Linked DNA regions of Saccharomyces cerevisiae S288C. The protein of the gene in region 1 interacts with the protein of each later gene in a pairwise test. Each region holds a gene or a part of one and is shown in the gene's direction. Other genes may lie near its edges. The genes, in order: ROD1, HXT6 and JEN1.

Evidence for each region.
Region 2: the proteins of ROD1 (region 1) and HXT6 interact in a protein complementation assay, tested with the Saccharomyces cerevisiae proteins (one study listed by BioGRID).
Region 3: the proteins of ROD1 (region 1) and JEN1 interact in a protein complementation assay, tested with the Saccharomyces cerevisiae proteins (one study listed by BioGRID).

What each region holds. Positions count from the first base shown.
Region 1 is NC_001147.6:361,264-369,068, forward strand, and holds ROD1 (Rod1p), read left to right. Parts: upstream 1-3,105; coding exon 3,106-5,619; downstream 5,620-7,805. Other genes in the region: PET127 (Pet127p), read left to right, coding at 149-2,551; YOR019W (uncharacterized protein), read left to right, coding at 6,864-7,805. UniProt on the Saccharomyces cerevisiae protein: Mediates resistance to o-dinitrobenzene, calcium and zinc.
Region 2 is NC_001136.10:1,157,972-1,165,041, reverse strand, and holds HXT6 (hexose transporter HXT6), read left to right. Parts: upstream 1-3,721; coding exon 3,722-5,434; downstream 5,435-7,070. Other genes in the region: hexose transporter HXT3, read left to right, coding at 382-2,085; YDR344C (uncharacterized protein), read left to right, coding at 2,593-3,036. UniProt on the Saccharomyces cerevisiae protein: High-affinity glucose transporter.
Region 3 is NC_001143.9:18,530-26,028, forward strand, and holds JEN1 (monocarboxylate/H+ symporter), read left to right. Parts: upstream 1-3,704; coding exon 3,705-5,555; downstream 5,556-7,499. Other genes in the region: URA1 (dihydroorotate dehydrogenase), read left to right, coding at 6,686-7,499. UniProt on the Saccharomyces cerevisiae protein: Essential to lactate transport.

The sequences.
Region 1 (7,805 bases):
GAAAAAAAAGTAGTCCATAATAAAGCGCGTTTCCGTCAATGCCGTTGGTTAATAAAGAAACAAATATGTAAAAATATAATATAAACAGGGCACTTGAGAGAGCACAAAAAAGAGCCAAACGCTACCTGATACTTTTATAGTTTTGATAATGGGGTTCTACAACTGTAGATTCCTGTCCAGACGTCTATCTGTTGAGCCTTGCAGAATAGGTAGCGCCGCTAAAAGCTATCAACAGCGATCGATTTATCACTTTGGCGCTGCTCTCACAAATGCCCCTAGTGGAAGAGAAACACCAGACAAGCTACGTTCTGACCTGCATAGTGCTTTAGAGATGGTCGATGAAATATATGACACAAATTCGACTGTAGAGGACATTGGAAACAAGGAAAAGGGAGGTCGACAAAAATATACGGAAGAAATGGACAAGGCGATTAATCTACTGAAAACAAATATAAAGAAGGAGTATAGACATGATAAGTATTTGGAGCGGACAAAGGTAGGAACGTATCCTGGTAGAAGAACATATCCTGGTAGGAGAACATATCCCGCTAGGAGAACATATCCCGCTAGCAGAACATATTCAGATAGCAATTCATACACTTTTCGGATAAATGTCCAGAAGATTAGGCACGCATTAGTACGTTACAATCAAGATGGTGTTCAAAAACACAACCAAAAGCCTCCTAGGATTGGTCATGGATTAACGAGAGTGTTATACCAACCGTTGTCGCTACAAAAATTGAGAGATAATAGGAGCAGAATGTATAATTTTGACCCTGCAGTGGAAAATATTAATCCAGAGTATTTGGAAAAGAAAAGTGAAAAAGATGTGAACACAGACTCCTCTGGAGAAGGACAAAGCAAGCCAATATTCATCACACCCCACAAAGATGAATCTCTGTTAAAGGTTGCCAAAGAACATAGAAAAAAGTACATATCTTCATCAAGTTCCATGACATCAGTACTTTCTCAGTTGCACTATTTATTATCCAATTTCAGAAGATTGAATATCATTGATTCCTCGATATCGAAAAATTTTCCTCAAAAAAACTGCAATTATTCAGAAAGTGCATATTTTCCGTCAGCAGTCATTCTGAGAAAGAAGAGAAATGGCATTTGTTCTATTGATTCAGATAGAAGTCTGGATAGGGAGATTGTGCTTTCTGTACTAGGTCATTATCTTGAAGACTTTTTAACGGAAAAGTCCCTGAAGAATAGTTCAAAAAGTGAAAATTATCACTATTCTAGTATAGATGAATTCATTGTGAGATCTCAATTGGACGCGTACGACCCAAATCTACCTGGAACGGGTGTATTTGATCTGAAGACAAGAGCAGTTTCTGCCATAAGATACGATTTATCACATGTAGAGAGTAATAACAACCAAACTGGATATGAGATAGATAAAGTTTATGGGGAATTTGAGTCTTTGGAAAGAGAATATTTTGAACTAATCAGGTCTGCCCTTCTAAAGTATTCTTTGCAAGCTAGAATTGGCAAAATGGACGGTATTTTCGTTGCATACCACAATATTTCTAAGATGTTTGGATTCCAATATCTACCTTTGGACGAATTAGATTATATAATCCATTCTTCGTATAACAGCAAATTCGACAGTTTGTTAAAGGAGAAGAATGATATCACAAAAGGGATATATGGTGAGGAGGACTACATTCTACACTATGACAGGGACGATAGGAAAATTGCTTGCTTGGTGGCTAATAGGGAATTTAAGATGTCTATGAATCTGTTCAGTAATATTTTGAAACACGTTGAGCAGTTACTTAACTCAAGTAATACGAAATGGGAAAAATGCAAAATAATGCTTAAAACCGAAGTTGAAGAAAAACGATCCAAAAGTGGCCGCTTCTTTAACGAACCGGTGCTAAATATTGTAGCCCTGCCGTTGTCACCTGAGTACGAGGATAAATCTTTATTGGTAAAGGATACTTCGAACGAACAATTAACAGAGGAGCTACTAAACCTCCGCTCATATAACGAAAATCTTTTGGAGGAACACCTGAATTCCTTAGTTGGATTTAAAGTAAATGTCAAGCATTTCTATCACCATCATCCTAATACTACACATCTACCTGATTTTGCTTTAAAAAAGAACGATATTCTCGACACCGAATCCCGTAAATATATTTCTGACATGATGAAACGAGACTGGTACAAAGATATACCATCTACACAGACTCCAAACTTTTTCCACGCTTCCGATGTTTCCACTTGGGAGGTGAACTCTACTTTTACAGATATCAATGACAAACAAATTTTACGAAAACTATACTTTAAATATTTGGATGTTAAATTAAACGCATTGAAAAATCAAGTAATCACACGTCAGGAACCTGATATGTCTAAAAAGGATGAAATTATGAATCGAATCAAATCACTACAAGCCCGCAATGATCACCGCGATAATGGAAGTAACAAAAGATATTCTAATTTTGGCCCTACCCGACTGCAAACTAAACTGCGCGCATATGCTAAAAAAGGTGCCCTTCGAAGAAAACTATTAGAAAGGAGTAACAAGTTCCATATCTAGAAGACAGTAGTCAGCGTTGGGCAATCTAATGTTATAGGTGAAGTTTTACTACTTTAATGTATTCACTCACAACTTTCGACCTTATGTAATTATTCTATGTATTTTTAGATATGTCCATACAATGCATTATTCTTGTAATTATAACACATATTAATTAAACAATGGGTCAAAAAGAGTCGAGTCCCTTGGTACATATTATGTTACATTACTGATTAAGTTGAATAAAAGCATCTAACTTTAAGGAATCTGCTTTATTTTGAAGACCGAAAACTACGAGTAAAAATAGGAGTTTTAATGCGGATGAATGTCTAACCCCAGAGATGGGTTCTCCGATAAAAACTGAGAAGCTTCCTGTTCACAGTTTTTATAAATTATTTTGTATGGCTGGGCTCTTGCAATTTTCAGCGTTTTTTTATTAAGCGAAAAAAACAGAACAGGGGTCCCCTATTCAAATATAGACGTCAAAAAGATGCAGATCTAAAACTAATTAACAACCATACAGAAATCAACGCGATTTCATCACACCATTCGCTTCTCTTCCTCCATAAGTAATAATGTTTTCATCATCATCTCGACCTTCAAAAGAGCCATTACTATTTGACATCAGACTTAGAAATTTGGACAATGATGTTTTACTGATAAAAGGCCCCCCTGATGAGGCATCTTCTGTCCTACTATCTGGAACTATAGTATTGTCAATTACTGAGCCAATTCAAATCAAGTCTTTGGCTTTGAGACTTTTTGGTAGGTTGAGACTAAATATTCCAACGGTTTTACAAACTGTTCATGGGCCGCATAAGCGATACTCAAAGTTTGAGAGAAACATATATTCTCATTTTTGGGATGATTTTAATATAAAAAGTTATTTCCAAAACTTGTACGATAATCATAATAATGGTAAAATAACAATTTCTAGTAAATCCTCAACAAATTTAGCAGCATTGCCAAAGAGAAAAAGAGCCCTTTCTACTGCATCATTGATATCAAGTAATGGGCAGACAAGCGCAAGCAAAAACTATCACACCTTAGTAAAAGGTAACTACGAATTCCCTTTCAGCGCGATTATTCCTGGGTCATTAGTGGAAAGTGTAGAAGGCCTACCAAATGCTGCCGTCACTTATGCTCTGGAAGCTACTATCGAGAGACCTAAGCAGCCCGACTTGATCTGTAAAAAACATCTAAGAGTTATTCGAACGTTAGCTATAGATGCAGTCGAGTTATCTGAAACAGTATCAGTGGATAACTCATGGCCTGAAAAAGTCGATTATACGATCTCCATTCCAACTAAGGCAATTGCCATTGGCTCTTCCACCATGATCAATATTTTAATTGTTCCTATATTAAAAGGATTGAAGTTAGGCCCTGTTAGGATCAGTTTGGTGGAAAATTCCCAGTATTGTGGTAGCTATGGAGGGGTTATCAACCAAGAAAGAATGGTGGCTAAATTAAAACTAAAAGATCCCCTGAAGCACGTTGCCCAAATAAAGAAGAAGAGGAGCCTAAATGAAGCTGCCGACGAAGGGGTTGATACGGACACAGGGGAATTTCAAGATAAATGGGAAGTTCGAGCTTTATTAAACATACCTGCAAGCCTGACTAAATGCTCCCAAGACTGTCGCATTTTATCTAATATCAAAGTCCGTCATAAGATCAAGTTCACTATAAGTTTACTCAATCCGGACGGTCATATTTCAGAATTGCGTGCGGCACTGCCTGTCCAATTATTCATTTCACCGTTTGTTCCAGTCAATGTAAAGACCTCCGATGTTATTGAAAGAACGCTCAAAACGTTTGGACCCTCATATCAAGTAACAAGTCAGCACGATAATTCATTCAGCAGCAAAAACTTTGTAGACGATAGTGAAGAAGATGTGATTTTTCAAAGATCTGCTTCTGCGTTACAATTGTCTTCAATGCCAACCATAGTATCTGGCTCTACTTTAAATATCAATAGTACTGATGCAGAGGCTACCGCAGTCGCTGACACAACTATGGTAACTAGTTTGATGGTACCTCCCAACTACGGCAATCACGTTTACGATCGAGTGTATGGCGAGGTAACTAATGAAGACGAAACTTCAGCATCAGCTTCTTCAAGTGCCGTCGAATCACAGGCAATTCACAATATTCAAAACCTATATATATCGGATAGTAACAATAGCAATAATCCTATTTTGGCACCAAATCCTCAAATCAAGATTGAAGATGATAGCCTAAATAATTGTGACTCTCGAGGGGACAGCGTTAACAATAGTAACCTGAATCTGGTTAATAGTAATCTAACAATTAGTGAAAATTGGAACAATAACTCTCCTTCTGCAAATAGATATAATAACATCATTAATGCTGGATTGAATAGTCCTTCACTGACACCAAGCTTTGCACATTTATCTAGGCGTAACTCATATAGTCGCCAAACATCTTCTACATCGCTGAAGAACGATTTGGAACTGACAGATTTAAGCAGAGTTCCCTCGTATGATAAAGCAATGAAATCTGATATGATTGGTGAGGATCTTCCACCGGCTTATCCCGAGGAAGAACTTGGAGTTCAAGAAAATAAAAAAATTGAACTAGAAAGGCCACAAATTCTTCATCACAAGTCTACATCCTCTTTGTTGCCACTTCCAGGCTCGAGCAAGAGTTCCAATAATCTGAAAAGATCGTCTAGTAGGACACATTTATCCCACTCTCCATTACCAAGGAATAATAGCGGATCCTCAGTATCATTGCAGCAGTTGGCGAGAAACAACACAGATAGTTCATTTAATCTAAATCTCTCTTTCACTTCAGCAAAAAGCAGCACAGGAAGCAGACATTTTCCGTTTAATATGACAACATCTTTCACTAGTAATTCAAGTTCCAAGAACAATTCACATTTTGATAAAACTGATTCTACATCTGACGCTAATAAGCCAAGAGAAGAGGAAAACTATACGAGCGCAACCCACAATCGAAGGTCACGCTCATCGTCAGTTCGGAGCAACAATAGCAACTCACCATTAAGACAAGGAACAGGTTCATTTGCTAATTTAATGGAGATGTTCACAAAACGGGATCGCTCATAGACTGCTTTATTTTTTGTCTTCGAAATTTCGACAAAAAGATATGAGCAATACTTCATACACGTTTGTACAGTTAAGCATATATACTTTGATAGAGTACTTTCATACCTCATACCACTTGAAAAATGATAATATAATGTTATAATACTACCTCATAATTGCTATAAAGTAAAACAATTCGGCGTTGTAGTTTATGCTTCTATAATCACAAAAAAATTTCACTGAAGTTGTCAGATTCTGCCGCAAGGCTTCTCATAGATTTTGTTAAGTGGTCTTACTCGGTTTTATGGCTTGAAGGTTAACATAATTATGAAAACTTATTGATATCCTCCCCACCCCTAACGTTTTAAAAATGATCTCGTCCAATATGTTTGAGGTGAATAATATCGGACCAGTTCTTGTTTTTAAAAGATAAGAATTGCTCATATTTCCCATACTTGTTGGAAAATTTCTCTCAACAATTGTATGAAGGCAAAATCCCTCAATTGAAACATTAAAATAGTGATTAGAAAAACAGGATTAATCAGTTATACGAACGTATTTTTGAGAGAATATAATGAGAATACAATGAGCTTCAGAAGATCTGTTTTTCTTTACTTGGCACTTCTTCCTCAACAATTATTGGCACTACAAAATTTTCTAATTAAATGTTAAAGATCCCACAGACATCATTCGTATATATCCTCCCATTTTATACGGTTAGCCAACTTTGCGATCCTACGGAAATTGCTATTTTTATAGTCAACTCATTGATCTCGAGCACAGCTGCTCTTTTCTCTCAATGAATTACGTTATATGTTAATCACACAAGCATCAGTTTTTCATCGCAAAAGAAAATATTTAGAGTTCTTGCAATTCAGATGTACCTCAATTAATAACTCAATCACCTCCTATGTTCTTGCTGGTAGTACTGCTTTTGTCTTAATTACTGCTGAATCAGCCTTCTAGAAGACCGTTCTGTTTCAGCCGCTCGCCCCTTTTCAAAGCTTGCGCGGCTGAGTTTTATGAGGGGCGGCTTTTTTGTGAATGGCAATCTACCATTATTAGTAGCAATATGATTTGCAGATAGATACATATATATCCTTCTGGGTTCATGTCTCGTTACCATCCACACTAATGCATAGGACCAGAAAGAAAGGACATCGAATCCAACACGTATTAAAATAAGGACTCCTCATTAAAAAGGCTTTTAATATTCAACTTGCTATAGATCACGCACCCTTTTGGCAAGTCAACCTTAAATTATTATGATTTCTGTTTGCCCACAAAATGACTTGCAAAAATGCTACAGAAGCCTCACATTCGATGTTCCAGGACAACAATTCGAAGAGAGAAATGAACAAAACCTTAAAAAACGGGCCAAAAAGAAAGGCAGTTTCCAACCATCTGTTGCCTTTGACACAGTGCCTTCCACCGCTGGTTATTCTTCTATAGACGACAGCAGGGAAGGATTCAAAGGTGTACCTGTTCCCAACTATTACACGATGGAAGAGTGCTATGACGATGAAACAGACTCTTTTTCGCCAAATTTGCAATATTATTTGAGAGATACATTCCAATCATCACCTTTTCTGAATACTAGAAAAGAGAACAAATCTGAATCCAGTAGTTTTCCAATGAGATCCTCAAAGTTGTTGGAAAAGAATTCTGACATCAAAAAATATTTCTTGGTATCCAAGAATGGAAAAATAGTGAGGAGAGACTATCCAAGCACGCCAGTAATTGTCAACGAAACGTTGATGATAAACAGGTTTGAAAAGAACTGGATAAAGTTATGGCGCCAAAGAAAACTACAAATAAATGAAAGGCTGAATGACAAAAAAAAATGGTTTACTTACCCAGAACTTATCTTCTCTGAAGAGCGTATTAAACCGTTATATAGAGGAGATGATAGTGCACCATGTACAAAAGAACAAAAAAGAAAGCATAAAATACTTCAACAAAAGGTCGGATATCCCAATAACCCTAAGACAATAGTTTGTCACATTAACGGAAAAAAACATACGTGGGTTGCCCTAGACTGGACAGTCTACAAGTTTGCACGAAATCTTGATCACATTGTTGTCATAACTACACTGCCAAAAATGATTTCTAACAGGAAAAAAACTGCAAAAGATGATACAGAATGGGCACCGGGATATCAAAAAGAAGTAATAGATCAAAAATTAAACGACATTTTTGATTATATT
Region 2 (7,070 bases), on another chromosome or scaffold:
ATTCGGTTAAACTCTCGGTCGCGGATTATCACAGAGAAAGCTTCGTGGAGAATTTTTCCAGATTTTCCGCTTTCCCCGATGTTGGTATTTCCGGAGGTCATTATACTGACCGCCATTATAATGACTGTACAACGACCTTCTGGAGAAAGAAACAACTCAATAACGATGTGGGACATTGGGGGCCCACTCAAAAAATCTGGGGACTATATCCCCAGAGAATTTCTCCAGAAGAGAAGAAAAGTCAAAGTTTTTTTTCGCTTGGGGGTTGCATATAAATACAGGCGCTGTTTTATCTTCAGCATGAATATTCCATAATTTTACTTAATAGCTTTTCATAAATAATAGAATCACAAACAAAATTTACATCTGAGTTAAACAATCATGAATTCAACTCCAGATTTAATATCTCCACAAAAGTCAAGTGAGAATTCGAATGCTGACCTGCCTTCGAATAGCTCTCAGGTAATGAACATGCCTGAAGAAAAAGGTGTTCAAGATGATTTCCAAGCTGAGGCCGACCAAGTACTTACCAACCCAAATACAGGTAAAGGTGCATATGTCACTGTGTCTATCTGTTGTGTTATGGTTGCCTTCGGTGGTTTCGTTTTCGGTTGGGATACTGGTACCATTTCTGGTTTCGTCGCCCAAACTGATTTCTTGAGAAGATTCGGTATGAAGCATAAAGATGGTAGTTATTATTTGTCTAAGGTTAGAACTGGTTTAATTGTCTCCATTTTCAACATTGGTTGTGCCATTGGTGGTATTATTTTGGCTAAATTGGGTGATATGTACGGTCGTAAAATGGGTTTGATTGTCGTTGTTGTTATCTACATCATCGGTATTATTATTCAAATTGCATCCATCAACAAATGGTACCAATATTTCATCGGTAGAATTATTTCCGGTTTGGGTGTTGGTGGTATTGCCGTTTTATCTCCTATGTTGATTTCTGAAGTCGCTCCTAAGGAAATGAGAGGTACTTTAGTCTCCTGTTACCAACTGATGATTACCTTGGGTATTTTCTTGGGTTACTGTACCAACTTCGGTACTAAGAACTACTCCAACTCTGTGCAATGGAGAGTTCCATTAGGTTTGTGTTTTGCCTGGGCTTTGTTTATGATCGGTGGTATGACTTTCGTTCCAGAATCCCCACGTTATTTGGTTGAAGCTGGTCAAATTGACGAAGCAAGAGCATCTCTTTCCAAAGTTAACAAGGTTGCCCCAGACCATCCATTCATTCAACAAGAGTTGGAAGTTATTGAAGCTAGTGTTGAAGAAGCTAGAGCTGCTGGTTCAGCATCATGGGGTGAGTTGTTCACTGGTAAGCCGGCCATGTTTAAGCGTACTATGATGGGTATCATGATCCAATCTCTACAACAATTGACTGGTGATAACTATTTCTTCTACTATGGTACTACCGTTTTTAACGCTGTTGGTATGAGTGATTCTTTCGAAACTTCTATTGTTTTCGGTGTCGTCAACTTCTTCTCTACTTGTTGTTCTTTGTACACTGTCGATCGTTTTGGACGTCGTAACTGTTTGTTATATGGTGCCATTGGTATGGTCTGCTGTTATGTAGTTTACGCTTCTGTTGGTGTCACCAGACTATGGCCAAATGGTGAAGGTAATGGTTCATCCAAGGGTGCTGGTAACTGTATGATTGTCTTTGCCTGTTTCTATATTTTCTGTTTTGCTACCACTTGGGCTCCAATTGCTTATGTTGTTATTTCTGAAACTTTCCCATTGAGAGTCAAGTCTAAGGCTATGTCTATTGCTACAGCTGCTAATTGGTTGTGGGGTTTCTTGATTGGTTTCTTCACTCCATTTATTACTGGTGCTATTAACTTCTACTACGGTTACGTTTTCATGGGCTGTATGGTTTTCGCCTACTTCTACGTTTTCTTCTTTGTGCCAGAAACTAAGGGTTTGACTTTGGAAGAAGTCAATGATATGTACGCTGAAGGTGTTCTACCATGGAAGTCTGCTTCATGGGTTCCAACATCTCAAAGAGGTGCTAACTACGATGCTGATGCATTGATGCATGATGACCAGCCATTCTACAAGAAAATGTTCGGCAAGAAATAATTTCACGCTAAACCGTAGTGCTGAATAATAGTGTATTTTAAGATTCGATGTGCTAGTCAATAATGATAAATAATACACAAGATTTATGACTTTATATATATAATTCTCTGATACAGTTAATAAAAGACATTGGTACATGATATCAAACAGAATTTTAACATTTCTTGATCCAGTTTGTAAACAAAACAAACAATTTTTCTACCATTTAACTTCATACCATCGGCGAGAGCCGAACAGGAAAAAAAAGAAGTCTCCGGTTATCGTAAGCAGTATCAAATAATAAGAATGTATGTGTGTGCAATTTGTTATACCCACGAAGAAGTGCGCAGTAGAGTTAGAAAACCAACTGAGTAATCTTTACTCCCGACAATCGTCCAATAATCCTCTTGTTGCTAGGAACGTGATGATGGATTTCGTTTGAAATCCGGACGGAAAACTCAAAAGAAGTCCAACCACCAACCATTTTCGAGCCTCAAGAATCTCTAAGCAGGTTTCTTTACTAAGGGGATGGCCTTTCTGTCCTGGACATTTTTTCCTTCCTTTTTTCATTTCCTTGAAAGGAACAGATTTTTTTTGACTTTTGCCACACAGCTGCACTATCTCAACCCCTTTTACATTTTAAGTTTTCGGGTTGAATGGCATCAAATTTGGGAAAATTTAGCTTACTCAGACACCAACACATTTTTTCATGAGTATTGTTGGAAAATCTTTCCATGCTTATCAGCCGGAATACGGAACAACGGCTGCTGTGATGCCGCAAAGGGGCAAGGAAAAAATAAGCAACACACACCGAAACAGGAGGAAGAAATTCCGAACACAAGCCTAAGAAGACACCGCAGTTGTTGCAACATGTTCACATGTTCATCCCCCTGCTACTACTTGGAAATTAATGTAGGGGTAATTGGAGTGCGCCGGCCCGTGCTTTCAGAGGAACAAAGGAAGAATTGTTAAAAAAAGGCAGTGACAACGAGCACGGGTGCACCATATGGTGTGATAAGCAACCTAGGACAAAAAGAAGTGCGCAGTTCCTGTGTGCGGCGCCAAGACAAATGTTTCATATGCTTCTCCAAGGGGCTACGCTACCTAGCCTCACCACCCGATCTCTTTTTTTCCTGAACGCAGAGGGGACCGTACGAAAAAAAATGTTTTTTAGGCAACGGAGATTCGTTTTATCCACGTTTACCCCACAAAAAGTGCAGGTACATTGTGGGGCCCCGGCATCGAAAACCAGTTTTTTTCCTTTAAACGCTGGAAAAAAAGGAGAAATTATTGGAACTTTGCAGAGAATAGTCCGTAGGCAAATTGAAAATGTTCCTTAAAAAATTTCGTTTCTTACTCATTGAGATTATTCAGATGCCCTCCGTGCCTTCATTGAAAAAAATCCAAGAGATGTCTCGGATCTGTATGCAGATTTTGGCTTGCAGACAATGGAGAGCAAATGGGTATACAATATAGAAAGCACAGAAACATATAAAAAGAGCTCGAGAAAAGACATATGGTTTGTAACTATCTTCTTCTTTTTTCCAATTTTTCTGTTTTAATAATAAAAAAACAAGAACAAACAAGCTCAACTTGTCTTTTCTAAGAACAAAGAATAAACACAAAAACAAAAAGTTTTTTTAATTTTAATCAAAAAATGTCACAAGACGCTGCTATTGCAGAGCAAACTCCTGTGGAGCATCTCTCTGCTGTTGACTCAGCCTCCCACTCGGTTTTATCTACACCATCAAACAAGGCTGAAAGAGATGAAATAAAAGCTTATGGTGAAGGTGAAGAGCACGAACCTGTCGTTGAAATTCCAAAGAGACCAGCTTCTGCCTATGTCACTGTCTCTATTATGTGTATCATGATCGCCTTTGGTGGTTTCGTTTTCGGTTGGGATACTGGTACCATTTCTGGTTTCATCAATCAAACCGATTTCATCAGAAGATTTGGTATGAAGCATAAAGATGGTACTAATTATTTGTCTAAGGTTAGAACTGGTTTGATTGTCTCCATTTTCAACATTGGTTGTGCCATTGGTGGTATTATTCTTTCCAAATTGGGTGATATGTACGGTCGTAAGGTGGGTTTGATTGTCGTTGTTGTCATCTACATCATCGGTATTATTATTCAAATTGCATCTATCAACAAATGGTACCAATATTTCATCGGTAGAATTATTTCCGGTTTGGGTGTTGGTGGTATTGCCGTTTTATCTCCTATGTTGATTTCTGAAGTATCCCCAAAGCATTTAAGGGGTACTTTAGTCTCTTGCTACCAATTGATGATTACTGCCGGTATTTTCTTGGGTTACTGTACCAACTTCGGTACTAAGAACTACTCCAACTCTGTGCAATGGAGAGTTCCATTAGGTTTGTGTTTTGCCTGGGCTTTGTTTATGATTGGTGGTATGACATTTGTTCCAGAGTCTCCACGTTATTTGGCTGAAGTCGGTAAGATCGAAGAAGCCAAACGTTCTATTGCCGTTTCTAACAAGGTTGCTGTTGATGATCCATCTGTTTTGGCTGAAGTCGAAGCTGTCTTGGCTGGTGTAGAGGCAGAGAAATTAGCTGGTAATGCATCCTGGGGTGAATTGTTTAGTAGCAAGACAAAGGTCCTTCAGCGTTTGATCATGGGTGCTATGATTCAATCTCTACAACAATTGACAGGTGATAACTATTTCTTCTACTATGGTACTACTATTTTCAAGGCTGTTGGTTTGAGTGACTCTTTCGAAACCTCTATTGTCTTGGGTATTGTTAACTTTGCTTCCACCTTTGTTGGTATTTACGTTGTTGAGAGATATGGTCGTCGTACTTGTTTGCTATGGGGTGCTGCATCCATGACTGCTTGTATGGTTGTCTATGCTTCCGTGGGTGTCACCAGATTATGGCCAAATGGTCAAGACCAACCATCTTCCAAGGGTGCTGGTAACTGTATGATTGTCTTTGCCTGTTTCTATATTTTCTGTTTTGCTACTACATGGGCTCCAATTCCTTATGTCGTTGTTTCTGAAACTTTCCCATTGAGAGTCAAGTCTAAGGCTATGTCTATTGCTACAGCTGCTAATTGGTTGTGGGGTTTCTTGATTGGTTTCTTCACTCCATTTATTACTGGTGCTATTAACTTCTACTACGGTTACGTTTTCATGGGCTGTTTGGTCTTCATGTTCTTCTATGTTTTGTTAGTTGTTCCAGAAACTAAGGGTTTGACTTTGGAAGAAGTCAACACCATGTGGGAAGAAGGTGTTCTACCATGGAAGTCTGCCTCATGGGTTCCACCATCTAGAAGAGGTGCCAACTACGACGCTGAAGAAATGGCTCACGATGATAAGCCATTGTACAAGAGAATGTTCAGCACCAAATAATTTGCGAACATTTTTATTAATTCATGATCACGCTCTAATTTGTGCATTTGAAATGCACTCTAATTCTGATTTTATATTTTTAATGAACCCTTACGATTTATATTGTATGGCAAGATGTTGCCAATAGAAGTATAATTTTTTATTAATTTTTTTTCTTTTCTAAGCTTTGAAGAAAAGTTAACAGCTTTACCCTTCAAAGTTATTGTTTTGTAGCGCTAGAAGCGAAGTAGGCGCTCTTTCTCGCATAAGCTACCTTAGGAGGAAAAAAAAAGTCTTCTATTATAAACAAAGTACTCTATAATTCATCAAAAAAATTAATTATGAGCCGGAGCTTTTCACAATCAGTGTACATATGCAGGGCTCACCTCGGTACTGCGCTTTTCTACCTGAAATTAAATAGAGTCACCTCATTACAATGAAGCTACTAAACTCCTCAATGTTAAACTGGCATTGCGACAGAGTAGAGAAGGCTTGTCAATAAACCTGAATTTTTGGTAATAAAAAGAAAATGGGGATCATATTAGGCCTTTATGATCATCCTTGGCAAACTACATCCCATATATGTTTGAAAAAGGGTTAATGATATGAAAATGTTTTTATTTAATAAGAAATGATGTACTACTGGCGGCGATTGGTAAAGAGGATCTAAGTTTTCTTTCCTGGCAGATGATAAACAGTTAGCATTCCCCAAAAAAAATAATTTCACCTTGTTAAAAAGGTAATTTGCGAGAAAACATGAACAGTCTGCCCCTTAATGAACAGTTTTTGGCCAAAGTCCTATTCGAATATATTTTAGTGGAAGAAAATCTTGTAGGCTGTAAACTTATTGATAGGCCCATTTGGTACTATTATATGTTATTTCAGCAACAATTTATGGAAAGGTTGCCGTAAGTAACCTTTAGATGGCAGGAAGGAAAAAAATCATGCTTTAAGAGTGGCTTCAGTAGCTAAAAAGGTAGTATACATCGCACAGTGAATATTCGCCCCAATGGACGGAAAAGTTCATGCAAGATTAAACGCAGTACCAGAAAGCCGCGTTTGTATGGTTTTATTGGCGTCCATACAAATAACTTATTAGCGGGGTGACAATTCAGAGACAATTCTAATGTCGAAAAGTGTACCATCACTAAAGTATTCCAGGGACTTCTGCCCACCACGTAGAAACGCGTTGTTGAATTATTTGACACAGTAATTTACCTAACTGGTCAAATGATTCTGTCTACTTCATTGGCTATTTTTCGATTTCTTTAACCTGCGACAGGAATTCAACAATGTTTAAACAAAAAATTCTGACAGCTAACTAGTAATTTTTGACATAAAATAATGATTATCTTCACCATGATAGAAATGCAGGACACGTAGTAAAAAGAAGAGATTTTTCCTTCTAGTACCGCGTGCTCAATACCACACTTTTGCAAAAATGCATCGATATATTAGGTAAACTCAAACAACGAAAGGAGGAATAGGCATTCGATATTGCTATTTTCAAATTGTATGCTGACGTCAACTTTTTATTAAGGATATGATAAAATCAACAAATGCCAACTTCTTCAACTTTTAGAAAGTACGAAATGCTAATAATCTTTTGTTCGTATGCTCCCTGAGTTACAATTCTAAGATCATTTTTGTGTTCGGT
Region 3 (7,499 bases), on another chromosome or scaffold:
ATTAGTCATTTTTTTCAGTTTTTTTGTCATAGAAGCCACATTTAAAAGAAGTCAGCCAAGTTACCTGTAAATATTAAAACAACCTGCTTAGAATGACTGTTAATTTACAGAATTTACGATAAAAATATAACTTGGCTCTAGGGCGTGATGATAGTGACAAAAAACTCGTCAAGTAAATGTTGGGAGCTTACTTGCCGTCGTTTTCTAACGCCAAAATACACGAATCATGTTTGGGAAATATAAGTGATTAGAACTTGTCCAAGGATATTGTCAAACAATAACATACTACAATAATCCTAGATCGTGTATTATTTGCGTATGGATAAATATACCTCAAGCTTTATGAGGCATAGAAAATTCATTAGAGTCACTACTTACGTCGCACTCTCGAGGATTGGAATGACGAAATCTTCTTCAGCATTTCACCATTCACCTTTTGAAGCTTCCTATCTCGTTGCTTAAGTAGAATGAAAGCATAGCAGCCCAAAAGAAAAGCCTCCCTCAGCAAGAATATTAACAAAGAACAATTCATGGACCGTTTCTACTACTTAATATCTCTATCACAACTGTCAGTCTCAATCAGTACTTAAATGACGCTGCAGAAAAAGATATCATTATTTTTATCATCCCCCTAATAAAATAAGTAATGAATCAATGCCATTAATTCGGGAACTAGTCATATACCTAAGGAATCAGGCTTTGATAGCTCTTTAATAATAATATTAGGGCATTTTTGATATGGTAAAAGATTAGATTAGGAAACCCCTTTTGTAGAGCATCTCACTACAATATCTGCAAAAACGGTCACCTTGCATAGGCAGAACACGCTACCTTTGAGTTAATTCACAGGGGAGAGCCCTTTTTTTTTCTTAGCAAAAGTGCTTAACAATCTTAATTTCTGGAATGTTTTCGGCGGATTGTTGTATATTGTTTGAATTTGTTCGTTCTAAAAAGTGAGACACCTGCACTTTCCACGCCAAGAACACTAATACCTTTAAACATGCCAGCGTACTTTAAAATGCCACGAGTCGCCCCGTACCAAACATGCTGGCGATTGTAATTTTTCGCCTTTTATTGGAATCGAGAATTCGGGCACTGTCCTTTTCTTCGTCATTTCAATGTTATAATCATTTTTATCGCCAAATTTTCTTCAATAAAAGGTCTCTTTTAAAATATGTTACTATGTTTTTTATTTTTCTATTATTTTTCTATGTGATTTTTCAGACGATTTATTCTTTGTTCGAAGGAGAACAGATGCAACGGTCAAGTTTTTACTATCCACATGAGGAGCCGTAATATTCTAAAGGCAAAAGCATGTGTGCTTGTAAAAAAAAATCAAAAAAAGTTACTGCTCCAAGCCAGCAAGCTTTCTCTTTTGCGAAATCTTTAACACGGTTAAAATCAAAGACAATTACTTCATTGACAAGGTCAATGCTAATATTTACGGTCTCCGCACGAAAGACTCTGAAAAATGTTAAAATTTATAGTGGCTAATGCTAATTCAAGAATAGTCTCGGGTTGTTTGATCACATTATTTTAATTTTTATTGAGCACTGAATAGGACCCGTATGTTCCAATCAGTCTATTTCTTGCAACTTAATCTGGTTTGTTTTTAGGGGAGTGGCATTTTTTTTAGGGTTATTCAAATATTCAATTCTGTAATTTGCTTACGACAAAAAGAAAAGGAGAGATGAAAAAAGGGCGACGGGTATAATCTATTCAGCCGCCAATGTCCCGACGTATGCCAAAATGTGGTGCCGCGGTAACAGTAGCATCACACAGAGCATGAGAAAAGCAAGAAAAGTGGAAGTCTGTATGTCACATTTTTATTGAAAATGCTATTTGCTATAAGGTTCGCTATTCAACTGATTGAACCGAGATAGACAAAATGTTAAACTTTTCATAGAGACGTTATTGTGATAGGGTTTACGCTGAGAATGGTTGAAACATACTTGCTAATAAACCACGTCACGTCAAAATATCAGTTTTTCTTTTTTAGTTATTCCCTTCTCACTTTTGACTTGAGATGAGATCGTTACACTTTTATTGAATACGAACGGATCACGATACATCCACATATACGAATGTTCGGCCAGACAGGGCATCAGAGTATATACCCTTTTTCCTAAAATGGAAGGGCCCTAGATCGTTGGCATCAGCGGTTACCTAACCGAAGTGGATCAAATCAGCGCCTATTTTTCCGTTTAGAACGATTAGATGCCGTCAATATGTATGTGCTTACTGTATCATCCACGTAGTAAAGCTGGGGCGTAGCATCCCTAGGTTACTTTCTCAATACTGGGGTCCCTGACCAAAGATAAAACATAACCTATTATGGCGTACGAGTCAAAGTTAAACGCTATTTGACTCGGGCAGCATGCATGACCCGGGGGAATGGAAAACTTCTCATGGCTACCCCAACGAAGCCAGACAAGATCTAGGAGATGTCTCCACCTTCCGAGCTACACTCTCACATCTCTTACATAGACACTGTGAAGTAAGTGATTGCACACAATCCAAAGAAGCACATCAAATAATATGTAAATATTACCCGTACAAATGGCAAATCATGTCCACTTTCCCGTTAGTCATCGGGTGGGCCGGTCCTCGCACTTTCCTTTTGTTTCGGATGTTAATTAATATATAAATGGATCTATAATTTTCAAAAGGTATAAACGCACAGTATGAAAAATATTGCAAGAATAATGTGTTTATAAATTATTTTTTTTGCTGGTAGCAAAATCAACTCATTGTCTTCCATTCAGAGTCTAATCGAACGTTATCGCAATGCTTGCACACTTTTAAACAATACGATTTAGTTTAAGTGGATGGACCCCCACGCTTAGTGTTCCACAGGTTTGTCCCCACTGTTTTTACATTCCACTGTACATTTTTGCAATAGAAGGTCATTGTATGCTACCTTGGGCGGCTAAGAATACCTGTAAAAATTTGGAGAAATTAGATTCGTAAAGAATGACTCGCAACGACTCCAATGATTTCTTCTTTTCACCCTTTGAACGGCCGATATCCGCGCGGGATCCTGACCCCGCAATTTACTCCACTAGACCGGCGTGTTTCTCTTTTTCCTTTTCCTGGGGTTAGAGCCCAAGAGCTAATAGCCGACAAACGGACTCCAAAAAAAAAAGGAGGCACAGGACAAACGCAGCACCTGCGTCATTCACGCTGAAGCGGCAGCAAGCATTTTCGATCAGCTCCAATTAAATGAAGACTATTCGCCGTACCGTTCCCAGATGGGTGCGAAAGTCAGTGATCGAGGAAGTTATTGAGCGCGCGGCTTGAAACTATTTCTCCATCTCAGAGCCGCCAAGCCTACCATTATTCTCCACCAGGAAGTTAGTTTGTAAGCTTCTGCACACCATCCGGACGTCCATAATTCTTCACTTAACGGTCTTTTGCCCCCCCTTCTACTATAATGCATTAGAACGTTACCTGGTCATTTGGATGGAGATCTAAGTAACACTTACTATCTCCTATGGTACTATCCTTTACCAAAAAAAAAAAAAAAAAAAAAAAAAAAAAAATCAGCAAAGTGAAGTACCCTCTTGATGTATAAATACATTGCACATCATTGTTGAGAAATAGTTTTGGAAGTTGTCTAGTCCTTCTCCCTTAGATCTAAAAGGAAGAAGAGTAACAGTTTCAAAAGTTTTTCCTCAAAGAGATTAAATACTGCTACTGAAAATATGTCGTCGTCAATTACAGATGAGAAAATATCTGGTGAACAGCAACAACCTGCTGGCAGAAAACTATACTATAACACAAGTACATTTGCAGAGCCTCCTCTAGTGGACGGAGAAGGTAACCCTATAAATTATGAGCCGGAAGTTTACAACCCGGATCACGAAAAGCTATACCATAACCCATCACTGCCTGCACAATCAATTCAGGATACAAGAGATGATGAATTGCTGGAAAGAGTTTATAGCCAGGATCAAGGTGTAGAGTATGAGGAAGATGAAGAGGATAAGCCAAACCTAAGCGCTGCGTCCATTAAAAGTTATGCTTTAACGAGATTTACGTCCTTACTGCACATCCACGAGTTTTCTTGGGAGAATGTCAATCCCATACCCGAACTGCGCAAAATGACATGGCAGAATTGGAACTATTTTTTTATGGGTTATTTTGCGTGGTTGTCTGCGGCTTGGGCCTTCTTTTGCGTTTCAGTATCAGTCGCTCCATTGGCTGAACTATATGACAGACCAACCAAGGACATCACCTGGGGGTTGGGATTGGTGTTATTTGTTCGTTCAGCAGGTGCTGTCATATTTGGTTTATGGACAGATAAGTCTTCCAGAAAGTGGCCGTACATTACATGTTTGTTCTTATTTGTCATTGCACAACTCTGTACTCCATGGTGTGACACATACGAGAAATTTCTGGGCGTAAGGTGGATAACCGGTATTGCTATGGGAGGAATTTACGGATGTGCTTCTGCAACAGCGATTGAAGATGCACCTGTGAAAGCACGTTCGTTCCTATCAGGTCTATTTTTTTCTGCTTACGCTATGGGGTTCATATTTGCTATCATTTTTTACAGAGCCTTTGGCTACTTTAGGGATGATGGCTGGAAAATATTGTTTTGGTTTAGTATTTTTCTACCAATTCTACTAATTTTCTGGAGATTGTTATGGCCTGAAACGAAATACTTCACCAAGGTTTTGAAAGCCCGTAAATTAATATTGAGTGACGCAGTGAAAGCTAATGGTGGCGAGCCTCTACCAAAAGCCAACTTTAAACAAAAGATGGTATCCATGAAGAGAACAGTTCAAAAGTACTGGTTGTTGTTCGCATATTTGGTTGTTTTATTGGTGGGTCCAAATTACTTGACTCATGCTTCTCAAGACTTGTTGCCAACCATGCTGCGTGCCCAATTAGGCCTATCCAAGGATGCTGTCACTGTCATTGTAGTGGTTACCAACATCGGTGCTATTTGTGGGGGTATGATATTTGGACAGTTCATGGAAGTTACTGGAAGAAGATTAGGCCTATTGATTGCATGCACAATGGGTGGTTGCTTCACCTACCCTGCATTTATGTTGAGAAGCGAAAAGGCTATATTAGGTGCCGGTTTCATGTTATATTTTTGTGTCTTTGGTGTCTGGGGTATCCTGCCCATTCACCTTGCAGAGTTGGCCCCTGCTGATGCAAGGGCTTTGGTTGCCGGTTTATCTTACCAGCTAGGTAATCTAGCTTCTGCAGCGGCTTCCACGATTGAGACACAGTTAGCTGATAGATACCCATTAGAAAGAGATGCCTCTGGTGCTGTGATTAAAGAAGATTATGCCAAAGTTATGGCTATCTTGACTGGTTCTGTTTTCATCTTCACATTTGCTTGTGTTTTTGTTGGCCATGAGAAATTCCATCGTGATTTGTCCTCTCCTGTTATGAAGAAATATATAAACCAAGTGGAAGAATACGAAGCCGATGGTCTTTCGATTAGTGACATTGTTGAACAAAAGACGGAATGTGCTTCAGTGAAGATGATTGATTCGAACGTCTCAAAGACATATGAGGAGCATATTGAGACCGTTTAATCACTTTTCATTGCTCTCTAGGGCGTGTTCGCTTCTCTATGTAACTGCATTTCACATATATTCATATTATAGCCTTTATAACATTACATAAAAGACATGATATACGACATACTTTAAAGTTAGAATTTTTGTTGTATTAATTTTCTCGAAGGGATTAGAATGTAAGTACATTTAAATAGCGCCGCAAGAAACATAACAGCCGTTAACACTAGCAAGATGGTAGATTACTGTGTCTAAGAATTTAAATTGTTTTGCTTGCTTTTGCCACTATAAGACAATAATAGTAATAGAAAAGAAATGTTAGTCGAACAGCAAATTGGTAAAAGTGGAAAAAATTATTTCGTTATTCATTTTAGGCCGTTCAGAAATATAGCATTTTGGTTCTTGCACTGAATGGGCCCTGAGGACAGTGTGCGGCTGGATAGCCATATACTTCGACATTACTTTTCACCTTTGAAGGGGGATGTATGCTTATACACAATCAAAGCTCGGCCTGTGCAGGTTTCACTACATAAGCTTTTTTACCATAGAAATCTTGCAGAAGGAAGTAAGTATCAAGATATTACGTATCGCATCCATAGAACGATAGCAGAAAAATGCAGTATATGATAACGATATGCTTCACAGCTGCGGCCCATTTGGGGAAAAAAGGAAAAGGAGCATCCTCGATCTTACAGATGTCGCTTTTTCCTCTTGAGGTCATTCCCTAACCTTGGATCCAAGTCAATCTGGTATCTTCCCACCCTAAATAGTGTATTCCCCATGTAATAAGATCGGACGATAAACTTCGAAACAATTCTAGCCTTTTTTATTAGATATTTACTCTACTTTAGATTTGGTGATTTTACTAAATGTTATCCTTCAGCCACTACAGCCTACTTTTTCTCACTAATATGTTCTTGAAGCCATTTTCTTCACCGGGCTTTGCCGAAGGTTATTTCACGATCTTCGGCATTCGCCGAAAATTTTTCAAGATGCCCATCACCAAAAAATAAAAAAAGCTTTATATATGGCATGGCATACGCATCGGGAACCGGTATTCTTCTCTTGGATTACACAGTTTGGACTACTAGACGTTTCAAATAGATATACACAATTACTCAAAAAAAAATTGAACTTCCGTACCAAACATGACAGCCAGTTTAACTACCAAGTTCTTGAACAATACCTATGAAAACCCATTTATGAATGCATCCGGTGTTCATTGCATGACTACACAAGAATTAGATGAATTAGCAAACTCTAAAGCTGGCGCATTCATTACAAAGAGTGCTACAACCTTAGAAAGAGAAGGTAACCCTGAACCACGTTACATTTCTGTCCCTCTAGGCAGTATCAACTCCATGGGTTTACCAAACGAAGGTATCGACTACTATTTGTCCTATGTATTAAACCGTCAAAAGAATTATCCTGATGCACCTGCTATTTTCTTCTCAGTTGCTGGTATGAGCATTGATGAAAATTTAAATTTGTTGAGGAAAATCCAAGATAGCGAATTCAACGGTATTACCGAGTTAAACTTGTCTTGTCCTAATGTGCCTGGGAAACCACAAGTTGCTTATGACTTTGACTTGACAAAGGAAACCTTGGAAAAGGTTTTTGCCTTTTTCAAAAAACCTCTTGGTGTCAAGTTGCCTCCTTATTTTGATTTTGCCCATTTTGATATCATGGCAAAAATATTGAACGAGTTCCCATTAGCTTATGTCAACTCTATCAATAGTATAGGAAATGGTCTTTTCATTGATGTGGAGAAGGAGAGTGTAGTAGTGAAGCCAAAGAATGGTTTCGGGGGTATTGGAGGTGAATATGTTAAGCCAACCGCGCTCGCCAATGTTCGTGCATTTTACACTCGTTTGAGACCTGAAATCAAAGTTATCGGTACAGGTGGAATTAAGTCCGGTAAGGATGCATTTGAACATCTTCTATGTGGTGCCTCTATGCTAC